Drosophila melanogaster: one gene and its partner. The protein of the gene in region 1 purifies or fractionates together with the protein of each later gene. This does not show direct contact. Each region holds a gene or a part of one and is shown on either strand. Other genes may lie near its edges.

The links.
Region 2: the proteins of prc (region 1) and loh purify together in Drosophila melanogaster (affinity purification with western blotting; one study listed by BioGRID). This does not show direct contact.

The regions. Positions count from the first base shown.
Region 1 is NT_037436.4:11,959,221-11,969,454, forward strand, and holds the start of prc (pericardin), read right to left. Parts: upstream 6,912-10,234; 5' UTR 6,833-6,911; intron 6,022-6,832; 5' UTR 5,958-6,021; coding exon 5,886-5,957; intron 5,644-5,885; coding exon 5,585-5,643; intron 5,519-5,584; coding exon 5,415-5,518; intron 5,353-5,414; coding exon 5,188-5,352; intron 5,132-5,187; coding exon 1,829-5,131; intron 1,775-1,828; coding exon 1,234-1,774; intron 1,170-1,233; coding exon 1,044-1,169; intron 674-1,043; coding exon 1-673. Other genes in the region: Muc68E (mucin 68E), read right to left, coding at 8,360-10,234.
Region 2 is NT_033779.5:10,440,005-10,450,102, reverse strand, and holds loh (lonely heart), read right to left. Parts: upstream 7,379-10,098; 5' UTR 7,301-7,378; intron 5,352-7,300; 5' UTR 5,344-5,351; coding exon 5,318-5,343; intron 4,943-5,317; coding exon 4,867-4,942; intron 4,595-4,866; coding exon 4,071-4,594; intron 3,919-4,070; coding exon 3,737-3,918; intron 3,581-3,736; coding exon 3,423-3,580; intron 2,468-3,422; exon of another isoform or gene 2,412-2,467; coding exon of another isoform or gene 2,382-2,411; intron 2,323-2,381; coding exon 2,121-2,322; intron 2,055-2,120; coding exon 1,873-2,054; intron 1,812-1,872; coding exon 804-1,811; intron 739-803; coding exon 588-738; intron 525-587; coding exon 391-524; 3' UTR 23-390; downstream 1-22. Other genes in the region: Nse4 (Non-SMC element 4), read right to left, coding at 9,477-9,542, 9,598-9,927, 9,991-10,098.

The DNA of each region.
Region 1 (10,234 bases):
CGAGGACTTGGTGTAATAGGTCGACTGGAAGTTCTTGTTCTCCTGCGGTGGGTTCTTTGTGTTGTCCATGCTGCCTGTCACTGACTTGGTGACGGTGACGTAGCTATCAGGAGCACGCCGTAGCGGCTTGTCACCCCGGACCGGACCCTCGTCGCTGGTGTCGGGTGTGATCTCTACTCCTTTGGGAGCGTGCAGCTCCAGGGCCTTGGTGTGGAACTTCTTTTCCACATTTACGGTTCCTCGGAATCCCGGTGGTATGGCCTCGGTGGTCGAGGGCTCTGCATTGATGGTGGCTTTACCGTTCTGCTTTTGCACCACCTGATACTTTTCACCCGGCACCGGCACCACGACTGTCTGTTGGCTTTGCGTGGGTGATGACTGGTTGTAGGTCTTGGGCCTAGGTGTTGCCTCGGTTGGTGCCACTATGGTGGACGACTTTGGGGATTCCTCTAGCTTCACTGGCTTCTCCTCATAGTACTCATCCTCATCGTATTCATCAGGATCGGCCTCATCTTCATCATCGTACTGAACGGGCTCCGGGTGGTCTAGCTTACTCACTACCTGCTCCGCTTCCTCCTTGGGCTTGGTGGACTTCAGTTGCGCCTCTGGCACCCTGTCGGACTCATCAGTAAGCGCGGGTCCACTGTAGACAGCATCAGCTCGATCAGTAACACTGGAAGTTGAAAGTTAAAGAAAAGAAAATAAAATACAATCGTATAAATTTTACAGAGGCACGCACTTCCCATTTGAAAAGTAAGTAAGCAAAAGTAGTTAGAAATTTTAAAGGATTTATTCGTTTATGTATCCAACATAAATAACCTCAAAAAGTATACAAAAATGAATACGTTTTATGCTAAAGAATTCCATAAAGGCATGGCAGTTATAAAATCACAATAAATTGATTGAGCTAAAGTGTGTGACTTTTCGAAATCAATTTTGAACATATTTTGCCAATTTAAAAACCACAGAAGCATACGTTATCCCTTTTTTTAAATAGCCCAAAACATGTTTTTCTTTCTTTCTTCACTTTTCCGATTACTTACGCATTTGCGTTGTTGCCAAACTGACTGATGGTATTGAAGAGTTCCCTGTTTGCTTCCCTGTAAGTAGCAACCTGCTCTTTGGTTCCCGACGCGGATTGTGCAGCACCATGGTAAGAAACACCAAAGCTGAAATACAAAACCAATAATGAGTGGCTAAAGTCAATAATCAATAATCCTATAGCAATGTTACCTCGATGTTCCGTGAATCTGCGAGCTACTCTGACTGGAATGAGTGCCAGATGAGGACGATGCCTGGCCGCCACCATTAGCTGCTATAGGATTGGCCTCCTGGCCGGGTCGGAAACCGATCTGGGCCTGGGAGGAGGTTTGTCCGGGTCCGCTCGATTGGGCGTCCGCCAGGCCGCCCTTGTCATTGGCGTGAACCTCGCTCTGGCTCTGTTGGATGATGCCACCGCTCTGCGACGAGGCCTTGGTGCCGCCGTCCTTGGCAACCTGTACCTGGGCCTGCGACTGGGCAGGACCTCCCGATCCCTGAGACTGACTCACGGCTCCATCAGCATTTCCGGTAACCTGTGCACTGGCCGCACGATCAGCATCGGACGTCATTGCACTGGCGCTAAAGGTTCCGCCGGAGCTGTAAGTTCCCGACACCTGAGTCTTGGCCGTGCCTCCATTCTTCTTGCCCTGAGCACTTGCCGACGCTTGTCCGTCGCCAATTGATGACTCGGCTTGGGAGAAGGCATCGTCAGCTCCGCTGGTACCGGCAGCAACTGGGAAACGAGCAATTCAAAACATTGTTTTCCACCGCCTTGATAGCTACTTACCAACTCCACCGGTGCCAACAGCACCAGGTACAGTTTGACTTCCATCTGTATATCGACCTGGTGCCCCAATTTGTCCTGTCTGGGTTCCGTATCCTGGTTGTCCTACTCTGTCTCCGATCTGTCCGGGCTGCCCTCCAATGACTCCAGTTTGGCCGCCACCTCCTGGCTGTGTTCCATAAACTGGCGCTCCACCGATTCCGGGTTGGCTACCGTATCCACCGTGCCCACCAACTGTCTGTCCGCCAATTCCGGGTTGAGATCCGGGTCCGTATCCGGGTTGGCCAGCTGTGGCCTGACCACCTGTTCCAGGTAAGCTTCCGTATCCGGGTTGCCCGGCTCCGGTTTGTCCAGGTTGAGTTCCGTACCCGGGTTGGCCACCGCTAATTCCTGATTGACCTCCAGTTCCTTGCTGTGTTCCATACACAGGTGATCCACCAATTCCAGGTTGACCACCGTATCCGGGCTTTCCAGCGGCGGTCTGTCCGCCTATTCCAGGTTGTCCTCCAAATCCAGGTATGACACCGTATCCGGGTTGTCCAGCTCCAGTCTGTCCGCCAACTCCAGGTTGGCTTCCATATCCGGGCTGTCCGGCTCCAGTCTGTCCGCCAACTCCAGGTTGGTTTCCGTATCCGAGTTGTCCTCCAAAACCTGGTTGGGCACCGTATCCGGGTTGTCCGGCTCCGGTCTGTCCGCCAATTCCAGGTTGGCTTCCATATCCGGGCTGTCCGGCACCAGTCTGTCCGCCAACTCCAGGTTGGTTTCCGTATCCGGGTTGTCCTCCAAAACCTGGTTGGGCACCGTATCCGGGTTGTCCGGCTCCAGTCTGTCCGCCAATTCCAGGTTGGCTTCCATATCCGGGCTGTCCGGCTCCGATCTGTCCGCCAACTCCGGTTTGGCTTCCATATCCGGGCTGTCCGGCTGCAGTCTGTCCGCCAATTCCTGGTTGGGTTCCGTAACCGGGTTGCCTTCCACTAGTTCCTGTTTGCCCTCCAATACCAGGCTGACCTATAAATCCATATCCAGGTTGGCCGGCTCCAGTCTGTCCGCCAATTCCAGGTTGACCACCGAATCCGGGTTGGTTGGTTCCGGTCTGTCCACCAATTCCAGGCTGAGTTTCGTATCCATAATGTCCGCCAGGAACAGCGGTTAGTGCTCCAATTCCTGGCTGAGTGCCATACCCAGGGAGTCCGCTTATTGTAGCCTGTCCTCCGTATCCTGGTTGTCCGCCTCCGGTCTGTCCGCTAATTCCAGGCTGCCCGCCGTATCCTGACTGTCCGGTTCCGGTCTGATCACCAATTCCAGGTTGACTGCCGTATCTGGATGGTCCGCCAATTCCAGGTTGAGCCCAATATCCAGGTTTTGCGGCTTCTGATTGTCCGCCACCGAGTTTCCCTCCAATCGGTCCGCTTATACCCCCAATACCTGGCTGAGTTAAAAATCCAGGCGATCCACCGACTCCAGTTTGACCTCCATATCCAGGTTGTCCGGCTCCAGTCTGTCCACCAATAACAGGTTGGGTACCGTATCCGGGTTGTCCGGCTCCATTCTGAGCTCCAACTCCAGGTTGGCTTCCATAGCTGGGCTGTCCAGCTCCAGTCTGTCCGCCAATTTGGCTTCCGTATCCGGGTTGTCCGCCACCGGTCTGTCCGCCAATACCAGGCTGGCTGCCGTATCCGGGCTGTCCGGCTCCAGTCTGTCCACCAATACCAGGTTGGGTTCCATATCCGGGCTGTCCGGCTCCAGTCTGTCCGCCAACTCCAGGTTGGGCACCGTATCCGGGTTGTCCGGTTCCGGTCTGAGCTCCAACTCCAGGTTGGGTTCCATATCCGGGTTGGCTTCCGTATCCGGGCTGTCCGGCTCCAGTCTGAGTGCCAACTCCAGGTTGGGCACCGTATCCGGGTTGTCCGGTTCCGGTCTGAGCTCCAACTCCAGGTTGGGTTCCATATCCGGGCTGTCCGGCTCCAGTCTGTCCGCCAATACCAGGTTGGCTTCCGTATCCGGGCTGTCCGGCTCCAGTCTGAGTGCCAACTCCAGGTTGGGCACCGTATCCGGGTTGTCCGGTTCCGGTCTGAGCTCCAACTCCAGGTTGGGTTCCATATCCGGGCTGTCCGGCTCCAGTCTGTCCGCCAATACCAGGCTGGCTGCCGTATCCGGGCTGTCCGGCTCCAGTCTGAGCGCCAACTCCAGGTTGGGCACCGTATCCGGGTTGTCCGGCTCCGGTCTGAGCTCCAACCCCAGGTTGGCTTCCATATCCGGGCTGTCCGGCTCCAGTCTGTCCGCCAATACCAGGTTGGCTTCCGTATCCGGGCTGTCCGGCTCCAGTCTGAGCGCCAACACCAGGTTGGGCACCGTATCCGGGTTGTCCGGCTCCGGTCTGAGCTCCAACCCCAGGTTGGCTTCCATATCCGGGCTGTCTGGCTCCAGTTTGTCCGCCAATACCAGGTTGGCTTCCGTATCCGGGCTGTCCGGCTCCAGTCTGTCCGCCAATACCAGGTTGGCTTCCGTATCCGGGCTGTCCGGCTCCAGTCTGAGCGCCAACACCAGGTTGGGCACCGTATCCGGGTTGTCCGGCTCCGGTCTGAGCTCCAACTCCAGGTTGGGTTCCATATCCGGGCTGTCCGGCTCCAGTCTGTCCGCCAATACCAGGCTGGCTGCCGTATCCGGGCTGTCCGGCTCCAGTCTGAGTGCCAACTCCAGGTTGGGCACCGTATCCGGGTTGTCCGGTTCCGGTCTGAGCTCCAACTCCAGGTTGGGTTCCATATCCGGGCTGTCCGGCTCCAGTCTGTCCGCCAATACCAGGCTGGCTGCCGTATCCGGGCTGTCCGGCTCCAGTCTGTCCAAGAATACCTGGTTGGGCACCGTATCCGGGTTGTCCGATTCCGGTCTGAGCTCCAACTCCAGGTTGGGTTACATATCCGGGCTGTCTGGCTCCAGTCTGTCCGCCAATACCAGGTTGGCTTCCGTATCCGGGCTGTCCGGCTCCAGTCTGAGTGCCAACTCCAGGTTGAGCACCGTATCCGGGTTGTCCGGTTCCGGTCTGAGCTCCAACCACAGGTTGGCTTCCATATCCGGGCTGTCCGGCTCCAGTCTGTCCGCCAATACCAGGTTGGCTTCCGTATCCGGGCTGTCCGGCTCCAGTCTGTCCGCCAATACCAGGTTGGCTTCCGTATCCGGGCTGTCCGACTCCAGGTTGAGTGCCAACTCCAGGTTGGTCACCGTATCCGGGTTGTCCGGCACCGGCCTGAGCGCCAACTCCAAGTTGGCTTCCGTATCCGGCTTGTCCAGCTCCGGTTTGTCCGCCAACTTCAGGGAGAGCAACATATATCAAACTGTATACATTTTGATTATATACGACTTACCACCTCCGGGTAAGCTTATAATGGAATCGGGTCTACCGATGCCTCCGGATCCACTAGCATCAAGAATTCTGCCTGAAGAAGGGTAATCCGTTTGGTAGCCAGAACATCCATTGCAGTCCCCTGATGAGAACTGGCTCTGAGCCTGACCCATTCCATGGGTGCCAGCTGAAAGAGGTCAAGAGGTCAATGGACAAAGTGCTAATGAATCTCATCTGACCCGTACTCACACACAGTGGAGCGAGATCCATTTTCGGTAGCCTCTGCCTCAGCCTTTCCATCCTCCTCAGGCTTACCGAAATTTAAGTACTGAGACTGGGTTTGTCCCCTCGAACTGCGGATAAACATGGAAAGGAAGTAAGCCCATCTGGTCCAAAATAGTTGTTAACCAACTACTTACTAGCCTCTGCCGCTTCTCTTTTCCCGCTGCAAGTCGTTCAGACTAGAAACCTCATTTTCCTGAAAGTTAATACATCGATTTAAATTCAATGCTAATGTCAGTCTAATCTTTATTCATTCAAAGGGTCTGTGCAAGTGTGCCCGATTAGATGCTGCTTGTAAGAAACTGACCTTGGTCAAATTATGTCTTATCGCCTACTTTTCGAACCGAGTTCATTTACATTACACTACTCTAGTTCCATTCAACACACACAGAGAAGCAACAATTCTCGGGGAGATTCATTAACAATTCGGAAACTTACGATGGCAGCTCCATTTGCGCTTGCCACGAATAGCACGGCGCCAAGTAGCAGGCCCAAGCGAAAGGGCAACATTTCAATAAATTAAACCCTGAATCCAATTGAAAGGCGTCGACGTCGCGGCAACACAACCAGCAAACTGTAAGATGAAATTGAATTGTATTATCAATACACCATATAGATGCGTGTTATTATTAGTTTATACTCCTTCTCTGTGTTTCTTGTCCGTCACTTTCAGAGGTTATCACTTTTCTTTAAAATGAGCACGCACGCTGTGCTATTAGATGCCAAAAAAAAGGCAATCGATCTTGAGTTATATTTCAGTCTTGCGAGTGATGTAATCGCTAAGGCTGATTAATGTAAGTTTCGAATTTTAGTTCTTGACACAAACGTGTTTGAATTTGTAGTCTGAAATCATACATATGTACATATCCTTTTTGATATCTTTCGCTTTTCACATCTTTATTTTGATTTTTATATGTAAAAAATACAAGAAAGTCACATAAGCACTTTACACTTCGAAAGGATAATTGTGTGATTATCCTGGCGAATATGAATTGTTACAGAATGTACATATTTATATTTGAATATAGAAATATTTAATAAATTTGGGAAGAAAATTTAATCTTCACATAATTGTGTTTAGATGTTGTCAATGATTCGATTAGTACAAGATTCTTAGTTTGCACACATTATAATTTACACACTTATTGTTCTTTTTGACCATTTACTAATGATATAAGGTCCTGTATTTTGGTTGATTTCAATTTCACTGCATATAGAAATTCACATTTAAATTTTATCAAATAAAACTCTACAAGTTGTAATCCGTTTCGTAATGCACAATTAATAGGATGTTTTGTTATCTTATTTCTTCACTAATCCCTTGTATTTGAGAGCTGTTTTTGCTCTATGTCCTTGCTGCGAGGGCACACATCCTAGGCACATACTTTTTCGGCTGCGTGTTCTAGGAATCCAATGGAGATTTTCCGATTTGCTTCCGATCGCGACAACTGCTGGATTGCGAATAACGCTGCCCTGTACGAGCATCAAAACTCTAGAGCTTGAGCAGAACTCAAATTCATTGAAGGCGAGCAATTTCCAATACATTTGCATTTGGCCAGCATGAATATTTATGTAGGATCCACACCAGCGCAGAGTGCTGGTATCTGTGAGGCGGATCAGGGCACTTGGAGCCCGAGCTGGGAGCTCGTCGCCAGTGCTATTCATTCGAGTGTCTATTCCATTACGTATCAGCGCTTTGATCGTGTCAATCGATCACTTGGTCTGGCTTGGCCTGCCGATGGAAGGGGCGGCGCGTTGACGTCCCCCTCGACAAATGAGTTTCTATGGGCATTACAACATCGTAGTCTATGCCAACGGATGGGGGACTCTTTTGACCCATTTTAGGGAAATGTACTGGCATTTATTAGCATATAAAGATACGCAATTGTGTATCTCTTGGATACATTTCAAGTGTGTCCCTGCCCACACTCATTCACTTGACTTGTATGTGCTCTCTTTGCATCTGGCGAAGGCTTTATCGATTGGGCTTTGGATTTCCCAAGCCACTTATTTATTTCTACAAATCAAAAATTGGCGGAAGTAATTTAATCAGATAACCTTTGAGACTAACTATTTGCTTTCGCTTTCTGTTTAGACTACCCATCGTCATATCTATATATAGAGCAGTCTCTACCAGCCCCCATTCAATGTTGAATTCGGCTTTATACCCTTATCTGCTAAGAGCTTCTATGAAACCATGTGTTAAATTGAACTGAAGCATTAAATTTTCAATTTTTGAATACCCATCGTCTGTATGGGGTGTGTTTCAAGGCTAGTAATATTTTTAATTGAAACCTAGATTGATAAGATCTACGAAAAAGGCCTAGGAACTGTGGAAAGCAAATAATCCGGCTACAGTGTACCCATTACTTATTTTACTAGATACAATTGCACTTAAAAATATCTTTAACCTTGTTTTCCAATTTTAATGGGAATAAAGTGCTATGAAATTTTTATTACATCGTAATAAGAATTTATATTGAGACCAATTTTTTGTAACACCTTGAGATGAATTTGAGACTACCTTTTGTTTCTATAACAATAGGGTAGTTCATTACCAAAGTGTCTCAGTCTATTGAAATAAATTTGCATGCATCCAAAAATATCTATTTAGATCATCTAAAAAAAAAACCCCAGTGAAATAAAAATGCGATTGAATGTGTTTTTTTTTTTTTATATACAACAATAGGAATTTAACATTCAGTTTCTGTTTCATTATATTAATAATTTTGCTAACTTTAATTAATCGATTTGTAATTTCCACAGTATAAATAAATTTTTAATAATTCGCAATCTTTTTATTCATTTCTTAGGTAAATATTGTCCAATGAATAATGCCGTTGCACTGCTCCTGAAAAAAAGTGTCCGCATGTTATTTATTAAAATTTTGTCTACTTTAATTGGACTTACTCTTATGTGCAGAATCGCCGGGACTTTTCGCAAACTTGACTAACGGGATTCCAGTAAAGTCCTGAATTACAGCTCATTACAACACCTCTCAGGCCAAAACACTTGACATATTTGGAGCAATCGCTTTGAAAAACGTTAAAATTCATGCCCGCTGCGCAAGAAATCGATTGACTCGCCCGAAGATTTGTGCAATATTTATTGGACCAATCACATGACTTTATCTCCGGGTTCCAATACAGCGGATCTGGACACTTGCGCTCCAATGCCACGCCATTACTACACTGCAAATACATGGTGCAGTCCGTTGGATGTGCAAGGAAATCCACTCCAGGTCCGCAAACCTTCTCCTCTGGATTGGAATTTTCAGTGTCGTTGTAGCAAACACCTGAATCTCCACTGCAAACAAATTTATGATAGTCCCAATAAAGATTAGCTGGGCACTCCATAATTAGTTCATGCCCGTTGCTGCAGTGAATATATTTATGACAATTTGTTGGATGGGGTAAATATTGATACCCGGTACTGCAAGACAATGGTGGTAGACTTGAAGTTGTGGTTTCAGGGGAAGAACTTGATGAGGGTTCTAAGGTTGTGGATCTTGAGGAAGATGGAATTGGACTACTCGTGGTATCGTATACTAGCGTGGTACTTGTAGAAACTTGTCCTGCAGTACTGTTTTCTCCCGGTGATAGGGTAGAATCGCCTAACGTTGTGCTCTCCTTGGGAATATTCGTCGTAGTCACAACAGTGCTACTTTCGTCTGTTGTTGTGTCCTGGTTAACAGTAGTAGATGTGTCAGGAATCGGTGTTGAACCTTCTGCCGTAGTATCATCCTCAGGTTTTTCGGTAGTTGTCTCGATTGCAACAGTTGTGTCGTCTCTCGTGGTGCTCCCTTCAGGATCATAAGTTGTTTCCTGGGCGACAGTGGTAGTTTCCTCAGGAATCGGTGTTGAATCTTCTACAGTTGTATCATCCTCAGGTTTTTCGGTAGTTGTCTCGATTGCAACAGTTGTGTCGTCTTCTCTCGTGGTGCTCCCTTCAGGATCATAAGTTGTTTCCTGGCCGACAGTGGTAGTTTCCTCAGGAATCGGTGTTGAATCTTCTACAGTTGTATCATCCTCAGGTTTTTCGGTAGTTGTCTCGATTGCAACAGTTGTGTCTTCCTCTCTCGTGGTGCTCCCTTCAGGATCATTAGTTGTGTCCTGGGCGACAGTGGTAGATTCCTCAGGAATCGGTGTTGAATCTTCTACAGTTGTATCATCCTCAGGTTTTTCGGTAGTTGTCTCTATTGCAACAGTTGTGTCGTCTTCTCTCGTGGTGCTCCCTTCAGGATCATAAGTTGTTTCCTGGGCGATAGTGGTAGATTCCTCAGGAATCGGTGTTGAATCTTCTACAGTTGTATCATCCTCAGGTTTTTCGGTAGTTGTATCGATTGCAACAGTTGTGTCGTCCTCTCTCGTGGTGCTCCCTTCAGGATCATTAGTTGTGTCCTGGGCGACAGTGGTAGATTCCTCAGGAATCGGTGTTGAATCTTCTACAGTTGTATCATCCTCAGGTTTTTCGGTAGTTGTATCGATTGCAACAGTTGTGTCGTCCTCTCTCGTGGTGCTCCCTTCAGGATCATTAGTTGTGTCCTGGGCGACAGTGGTAGATTCCTCAGGAATCGGTGTTGAATCTTCTACAGTTGTATCATCCTCAGGTTTTTCGGTAGTTGTATCGATTGCAACAGTTGTGTCGTCCTCTCTCGTGGTGCTCCCTTCAGGATCATAAGTTGTTTCCTGGCCGACAGTGGTAGTTTCCTCAGGAATCGGTGTTGAATCTTCTACAGTTGTATCATCCTCAGGTTTTTCGGTAGTTGTCTCTATTGCAACAGTTGT
Region 2 (10,098 bases), on another chromosome or scaffold:
ACATTAATAAAGTAAAGGCCTTCATTTAATCTCTGTTTTATTGAAATTCATATGGTTGCGTATGAAACAACATCGTTTCTCGTTTCTTAATGTTACGTTTAAGAATATGATAATTTCACTAAATAATATGTTTTAGTCTTTATCTAGTTTACTTTAGTATGTTGTTATTGATTTGCGTTAATACATTCTTTTCGATCGATATTTTTTAACTTTTGCATTTCCCTGCAAGCTTTTTTTTTGAGCTTTAGTGTCAGAAATACTAAGTTCTAGAGTTAACAAAATGTCAAATGCGTGGGGTAAAGCTTGATAATATTTGTTTTTTTAGCTATTCTGCACGGCGGTTAAATAATCGTTTTATAAATTAATTAAGAGTCTTACGAACTACGAACTTTAAATGCCACCCGTGCAGGAAAAACAACAATTATCGCGATAATAATCGTAGCTACATAACTTTGCCTGCGAAGCCCACTGGCAATTAGAGAACTTATCCGCACAGACTGGAGTCACTTCAGTTTTCGGAACTTCTGTAAAAGTAAATAATATAGTAAATATATAAATTTAACTAAATATTCCAAGTAGAAACCCACCTGCACACGCTTGCACATTGCAATTGCGATATATGGGCTCCCTGTTGGTGTACCGACAATGCGTTGATTCCCGCAAGGCGTTCATCTTGATGTCGTACTCCAAGCATCTCACACTGCGTCGCTGGGTTCCACCGCCACATGGTTTGGTACACTGCAATAAACGAATGCAAGCGGATATAGTAACTGCATCACAAATCAAATCAAGTATCTGGCTACCTCCGACCAATCCGAGTAGTGCCAACGGGCAGCGCAGTACTCCACCTCCTCGTGGGAGCACTTCTCAACGGATTGCGGCTTCAGCTCCGGCGTACACTCGCTGTGCTCCGTAATCAGCTGGCTACGGATGCACAGCACCTCGCGGGTGCGTGTCAGGTCGAAACAATCGCCATTGCACGATGACCACGGACCAGTGAACCAATCACCCAACTCGCAGGCGGGCTTCTCGCAGGGACGACGACTTTCCGGAGTGGTGCTAGGATCACATCTCTGCTCGCCGGCCTTGGAGCGATCACAGAATACGGTACGATACTCAACGCCCGAACCGCAGGTGACCGAACAATACTGATTCCAATCGGACACCAACCAAATGGCCGTGGCGTCGCTGCCATCGATTTTGCTCCTCTTCACTTGGCTGCTATTCGATGAGGATTCCGAAGGACCAGACAGGCGGTATCGGGATAAATTGCGTCGCCTATTCTTGGGACATTCGCACTGTTTCTGCATGGGTGGCTGATCCTCCATGCAGGCGGCCTTATCGACGTGTATGACCAGTCCGGAAGCCAATTCCTGGACACAGCTAACCTCCCTGCGACGCAGACCGCCGCTCGACGAGCAGCGACACTCGCCCCAATCGTCAAATCTCCAATACGCCGGACAGGGTTGCGTGTTGCAGTGCAATAGGTTCTCGTTCAACACCGGTTTCACGGAATGCGTGCAACGTCGCTGCGAGTAATACCGCAATGGATTCTTTCGAATGCAACGGATGATGGGTGTCTGCGTGCCGCCGCCACAGGATTTCGTGCAACTACTGAACCCAATTACTTTCCAATTAAAAATACGTTTGCGTCCCGCCCGCGAGCTACTGGATGAACTGGTGTCCTCCATACCGGATCTCAACAGGCCATCGCTGCTCTCCAGCGACATCTCGTTCTCCTCGGACTCGGATACTATGGGCAGCATGTACTCGTACTTCACGCCAGTATTATTGGCTGACTTGGTGAAAACCTAAAGGAAAGTATTTAAATTATATAGAAGTCTATTAAGAGATTTATATGTGGGGCTCTACCATAAGTTGCAATGAATCCCGAATGGGTCCAATACTCGTTATCCACTCGGTCACCCCATTGCTGTCCTCAGCTCCGTCGATTCGATGATAATCGAAGACAGCACCAACCGCTTCGTAGGATCCGCTCTCCGAGACAGTGTTCTCTCCATTGAAAATGGCCAGCTCATTGGAGGTGCGCAGGACTGGAATTCCACGAAAGAGATTTGATAATCAAACGTATTATTATGCAATATCAAAATATGTATTACCCAGCAAGTTGATGCTATTCTTAAGTTCAGTTATCGAAATATTGGAGGCACCCACTGGCAATGTGGTAACATGTATATAGGCATGTTCCGGCAGAGGATTTCTGGTAAAGATGCCCGTAACTGGCCGGCAAAGTAATCCACCACAGCTCACGGATCCACTGTGCGCATACAATCCATCGATTTCGCCACTGGCTTGCACTGCCTTAAATATAGTTTTTATAATCCATATTATAGATCGTTATAACTATAATGCTTACTCACCAGCAACAGCAAGGGCAATAATGCTATCATATCTGTTAATTTTTCAACTACTTTATCTACATATATATTTAAAACATTGATTATTCTTTATATCGATCCAATCCACAAAAACTATCTACAGCTTCTGCAGGGGAATACTAAGAATACGCCTTTATATATGGTAAGTTCAGGGTAATATTCGTACGAGTGGAATTCGTGGGCTTTGCAAAAACATTATTTATTGGCCACTTATTAAGCATACAAGATAAACAACAAAATAAATGAGTACAAAATACATTCAGTCAGCCATATTAAGGGGCATATGTTCTATAAGCAATTGCTTTTTGGATCGACTTTCTGTACGCACAACTGCGGCAATGTGTTTACTAAAATAATTCATTGAAATTAAGCTCATTGGACTTATTCCAGTTTTTTGCTTTCACAAAATTATTTCCACTTTGATTTGCTGACCTATTCCGCTTCTCAAGAATCAATTTGAAATTTAGAGCCTTGCAAAAACTATACTTAATTAAATAAAACAGGTTAAAAGGGTTTCAATCAGTAATGCAAATTAAATTGTAACGCAAATCAAGTAAAAAAAAAGGGAAACGATCAATTATATCTTTTATTTGATATATCACAAATTTCATTAACTGATTAACAGTTTCAATGCCATTTAAATATGCAGTCTTTGAAGCTTATAGTTTGAGAGACTGAAAACATAAATCAAGGTTAAAATTAAGTTTGCCTTAACACTTTATTTACGTCGAAATGTCTTTATATTGATTGTTTGAATTTCATTACGAATCACTTTATATGCTGCGTGCTTTTTGATTCAATGTAAAACCAATACTAAGTTTTCAATGCGATTCTTGTACTTGAAAAAGCTCTAGTATCGAAAAATGAGTGCTTTTAATGTGCGATCGTTAGTTGCTCTGTTGCTGGTGGTGGCACAATTATCTTATTTTAAATTTCAATAAAAATTTTTAAAAAAATCTATAAGATCAAGTCATCATTGCTGTATTATTCTAGCATTATTATTGTTTATTTAAATTTACTAACCTTACAAGCTCCATCAACACAAACAGCGCGCTCCCAAAATTGCGATCTAAAATATTCAGCTGGATGTCCACATGGAGTTCCATCAATTACGGATTCGTTTAGTGTGGCAAATGATTTCATTCCGAATGGCATACAGTTCAGTTCGCATTCAGCGTCATCTATAAATTATTATAAACAAATTCAAAGTGTTTAAACTTGTTAATAGATTGTGGGACTTAAAATGAATTATATCTAGATATTTTTTGGTGAGCTAATATCTAGTTCTTTTACTTTGTTTCGAATAAAACCATATTACAGATCATAAATGCACATACCCTTGACATAAGGTTCCCACCTATATCGATGACCATGAAACTCTTTATCGTTGTAAGCCGAGCATTGGGAGGCCCGAAAATCTGGGGATTGTTCGTCGCATGGCACATCATTGCACAGTTGATAGCGTTTAAAGTAACCGACACATGCATTACTCGTAAGCTGATTATTCGTCAATAGGTTACTGAAATCGGTAAAAGAGTAGAGTGCTTAGAGATATTATCCCAAAACATGCTAATGAAGGCAAACTGTAGGGTTATGAGCGCATATATATATATATATATATATATAACCAATAACCTATATATCTTAAGCAGTAGTATTAGTATAACTCACCGATTGATGCATTTCCTAACCTGATACTTAACGCCACCACCGCAACTTCGGGAGCAGGAACTCCAGTCACTCCATTTGTCCCAACGTGGATATGGATACACCTTCTTTTTCGCCTTTTTTGAAGTTGACGAAGTTGCTTCTTGCGGTGGATTGGGAGACGAGAACACCTCCTCGACTTTCGGAGTCTGTCTTGTGGTCGCAACATTGCCACTTTCAAAGAGATCCTTGGTAGTCACACTTGGTAATGTAGTGGTTTCCAGAACGGATTTGAAAGTCGATGTACTTGGATTGGTGGCATTTAATGATATTATCGTTGATGACTTTAATACTTTTTCATCGGATTTATTGGATATTTTACTAGTTGTCTCGTTCTCCAAGTATTCCTCCTTATTATTCGGTTTTTGCTTGGGTGATGATAGATCCTTTCTCGTATGCCACAAGTTTGCCAGCTCATAATATGAGTTAATTGAGATTTTCTTTTTCGTTTTAGGTTTTCGGTGCTCTCTGAGCCAATCCTGATGTTTCTGTGAGCAAAAATCAAAATAATAAACATGATTTCATCAATTTATGACAACACATTAAAGCACTTTACAACAAATTTATGACAGCACTATTTACAGCACTATTAGTTTGACATTAATTAAAGTTCTAGCTTATCAACACCAACATGACATATTTTTCAAAAGTGATAATTTATAATAACACTTTAAATGGGCATTGAACGTAATGAATGAGTTCGAATCAGTAATTAGATTAATTCGATTTTAAAGTTTATTGTTTATAAGGAAGGTCCTACCTTAATTCGCTCTTTAGTTGTTAAATCCGCCTGCACAAAACTAGAATCGTGTATCGTTGCGAGAATTGTAAGAATACTGTAAACAGAATTAAATAAAATAAAAATACAATATTTGTGTGCAAAGGAGAATATTTTAAGAGCGGAAATTGAATGTTTCATCAGTTCCATCTCATCTCTGAATCACTTCCGATTGATTCCGAACACAGCAATGCAATCTTAAAGGCAAAAAAACTTCTTTGAAGTATCTAGATCTACACTTTTTACAACGTTTTCTGTGAAAACGAGCCACTGTTCGGCGGCAGGGCAAACAAATCTTGATTAAATCCAGCTGAGCAAGATGTTCACCCCGCCCACTTTTTGTGCTATCAAATTTGTATCTATTGAAAAATCCATGAATTCGTTTTTTTTTTTAGGTTGAGCTACACATCGGTTTGAGATACTATTTTCTTACCTGAATATTAACAACAGCTTCGCCATTTCTAAGCCTGTAAAAGTCAGGGAGATACATTTAATTACAATTACAAATTATCCAAAAACTAAAACGTGTGCCATACTTAAAGAATTCCCAGAGACCACAGCCTAATATTTAACAAGCTACATATATTTAGATTATTTCTCTATGTACTTTTAGATAAATTCGCTAGCTATTTTTAAGCGATCTTTAATGTTTGCCAGTACGCATGTAGAGGCTTGTATTAGCAGCTCGGGACAGAGGAACTCAAGTTCCATTATTTTCATTGATTACGATTAAACCGAGCGTGACTATTCGACTGGAATGGATGTACTTTCGGCAGCATATAGCATATAGCATATAGCAATGTAGCAAATAGCATACACTACCAACATCCGTGAACAAAAATGGGAAGGGCGTATTTCATTAGAAGCCTCCACACCCACTCAACATTTTGGAGCTACATATGTATGAGCACACAACTATTGCGTATACTACAAATACGCACAAATATGTTATATAATTATATATAAATCAGTTTGGTTCTCAAGCTGTGACTTAGGAATTTTCGCCTAAAGCTAGGTTCTTATGTATAACATCTTCTGAAAGGATATAAACCTATATATTTTGACAATAACTAAAGGAACTTGGCATGGATGCTTTGTTAGATCCCAGCTTTTTAAACATAAGATACATGAAATCTTAGCTTTAATGTCTTATCATAGTGTTGTATGTGTGTATGTACTATGTTATGTTGTTAGCATTTCTGGATTCCTTATAAAGAGCAAAGTGCTCTGCCGCCAGTGACACACATTCGTGGAGCGGCAATTGCATACCCTAGAAGTGTACAAGTTGGCGGGTATGCGAGTTCCTAATGTCACAATGGACTTTGCCTACTTAACTGTGTCAATAGGGCCATTTTGAGCCAATCGTTGCATTTGAAACTGCATTTGCCCATGTGTGTTGCAATGGCATTAGCACTTCAGCATGCCACTGAACTCGAAAACACTCAATTCGAAGAGTGCGGATATTATGAAGAACTTGCATTAAACTGAAGTGTTTGGAAAAATGTTCAATCGTTTCGAGAGAAGGCAAATTACATGGGGGCACCAAAATATTTTGATACATATGTCATATTTTCTGGGCATTCTTGTATTTCGTCATTGACGCTTCGCTTTGCCATAAATTACATGTGAAACTTCCGCAATTAGCAAAACGGGAAACTATTTTGAAACATGTGTGTGCGCGCAGATGGGATTGTTTAAATTAAATTGAAATCTATGAAGAAAAAATACTAGTGTGCCTGTCATTCGATTTCACTTTTTAGATTTGGACAACTGCCTTTGCGGCTCACTGCCTGTATTATTATTATCCGATCGATCCTAAAATCTGGAAATGACTGCAATTACGCTGCCACATTTAAGGCGTGCAAAATAATGTTGGGGGTTTTTTTCGAGATAAATTAAAAAACTCCATCGACAGAGGGCTTTCTTTCATTATGCATTCAGTGCTTGAGTGATTACTGTCATCGGACAGATGTGATTGAGGTGAATTGGTTTGTCCCACAACGAAAAACCCGAATCAATTATACGCATTTCCCCCAAAATGCAATTAAGCCCATATTCAAAATGTCTTCGGACCTTTGAAGAGTTAACAAACCGAACAATTGTTGAAGATAAGGGTTCACTGAAAAGGTTTTCAAAAAAAAAGAAAAGGACATGTCACTCAAAACGATCAATTATCGGAAAACCTTACTTTTTCGTTACGCTCACTAAAATGATTAAATTAAATTAAATTAAATTAGTTATTTAAATTTATATGTTTCGTAATTTGGCTCTTAACTAAAAGGATCAAAAGGATCTTCGCTTAAATGTTGTAACAAAATCACTCAACAAGCAAGCACAGGGATTTTGCAATTTTCTAATATTAGTTATTCGCTTGATTTATATATTTGCAAAAAATATATATCTATATATGTAGCACCCCGTGTATCACTGCACGCCTAATTCTGGATTAATTGAAGCCGTCGTCTTCATCGCGTGGTACTCAAATCCAAACTGAAATCCGAACTGAATTTTCGGGAAAGCCGCTTTGGGAACAAAAGTGCTGGAGGCAGAGCGCGCCGCTAGCATCAGCGCAGCTCTGGCGATCGAGTGGTGCTAACAACGGCACCCGTGGCTCCCCGATTTCCACCGGGAGGAGGCGGAGGAGTGGGGACCCATCTCACCAAGCCCCAACCACAGCACTCACATGGGCATGGAGTCGATTGCCAGCGCCACCCAAAAGTCTGGAGCCAAACGTGCGTACATACAGATAGGCGCACATCCACAGCACAGCTATGGTCGAAAAAGTAGCGAAACTAAGTTTGAGTTACAAGATACGAAAATTATTTATAAATATTTTAAATTTAGATTTTAGCATAAGCTGTATAGTTTAGAGCTAGAAAGGCTCTTAGTTCGCTTAAGTCTATAAAGCAGCATGAATAACTTTTTTTCTTCCTCTTTTACCTTTATTTATAATCATATTCTTAACTGACCTTTTTCCAGTTAAATATAAGGGGTAAACAATTTATTAAATATATTTCATTTTAAATCAAGGTAAACAATTGCTACTCATTAATATCATACTGCTTTTGGCAAGACAAATAAGAACCCTATATAGTTCACACTTCATCTAAAATTCAGTGATGCTATTTAGCTGACCGCAGGTGTGCCTGTGACCACGGGTGAGTTACAATAATGTGGGTGATGTCTCTGCATATGTATGCATTTAACTTTATGTAGCTTTCAGCGGAATATCAATGCGAGAACAAATGTACATTCGAACCTTACGCAAACGCTTAATGCGAAAGTGATCCAAGGAAATTTATGGAGTCCAAATTGGTTATAATTTAGCAGAACTGAATCCGGACTTAAGCTTCCCACACAGAAACTAAGAGAAGAAGGCTCCCAAAATGGCAAGAACTTAAAAAGTTTGCTTGCAAAATAAGAAAACTTTGAAATAGATAAAATTTAAAGCTAAATTGTTTTTTTGAAATAAAAACATATTGCAGCATATGCATAAAAACAATACATTTTTTCAATAATTTTCCAGTTAAAAAAAAACTATTTTCTCTTTGCTCAAACTCATAGTAGCATAATGCATTTACTAAGTTTTTCATAGAAGTAGAATTCTTCAATGGAATTTACTAAGACAAACCCAACTTGGCAACTTATTGAAACTGCGCTTGTGCATCATTAATTTTGTATTTTGAAGATTGGGTGGCTATTAATTGGGTCGTTTGTTGCTATGCTGATATGGAGCAATAAATCTTCATTTTGGTTTTATATATAATTACACATTAGCTTAGTTTCCTGCACTTGGGTCAACTCTCTTCGCCCACATGAAGTTGAAAGCCCCAAAATCTCAGACAATAGTGCATCGAGTAACTTGATCTACTACATCCAGTTTGAATAGAAGCACTGATCTCTTAGAAAAGGCTATACTCCATAGAAAGCCTTTTAAACTCCGTCGACCGCAAAGATGCAATTAACCCTAAGCTTCATTGTGCAATAAATCTTAATTAATCTTAATTTCTCTTTGTGGAATTAAGTTAACGGAATTCAATTAAAAGCCGCTGTGCAACGGAAAGTGCACTAATTTCGAGCACAGGAGTGATTTTTTAATTAATGGACCAATCATTCATTCATTCATTATTCCACTCTGCAAAGTAATTTATTTGTTTAATTCTTGGTATGCCACCCATTGAGACCAGGAAAAACGGATTAAGAACATAATCCGAAACTGGTTAAAGTTATAAGTAAACAACTTAACTAATATTTAGTTCCTAAATATAACATACATACATTTTATATTGCTATAACTTCACAAGTGCCCCTTCTACATATTTCACAATTTGTAGGCGGTCATAAAAATTGACATAATGGCAGGGGCGGATTCGTAGTAAAATATTGGGGGAAGTGTTTGAACTATGAAGTAACTGCTTGAGTAATAAAATTCATTTAATGATTTTGTGTTGATATTACGTTAATTACTTAATGTTTGGGGGAAAGAACACTTTCAATTACCCGATTATTTATGCCGTACATGAGTAACTTTAAACGTTCTATGTGTTTTATTAATAACAATATAAACTATTAATATGAACTAAGTGATATATCTATTTCTCACTAACCGGAAGTCTTTTTAACATTGGCTCATGTAGGTTGTAGTGCTTTACCATTTTCTGTAATTTAAATCATATCAATTATAATGCTTTAAACAATAATTGAAATACGAACCTCACAAAAGGTAACATCGATGGAACAAATAGCCTGGGACGGTGCGTTTCCTTCGACCGATTTGGAATTCACAACGCGAACCAATGGCAAACCATCCTCGCCATTTTCGATGGAAATATAGTTCTCCTTGACAAGAAACGACAGTTGCAAAGCGTTCTGAACGGTGTCCATAAAATTGTTTGGATTGCAAATCAGTTTAAAGTACGGAATCGGCTCTTGATTGCCATCTCGATATATTTGTCTTATTTGCTTCAGCATGTGGGTTACGGACGCTGCTCCTTCGTCCTTGCGTTCCAATTGGTCACTCTTTTCTGGACGCTTCTCATCTACCTACAAGATCCATAATAATATGAACAAATATTACTGTGAGAAATTGTTTAACAAATGACTTACTTGAGATTTCGTTTTGCGAGGAGCACGTTGCTTTTGAACCACCACCTTTGGAGTAACATCTATGAAGGGCAGCATGCTATCATTGGTGAAGAGTGGTCTTCCGAACTG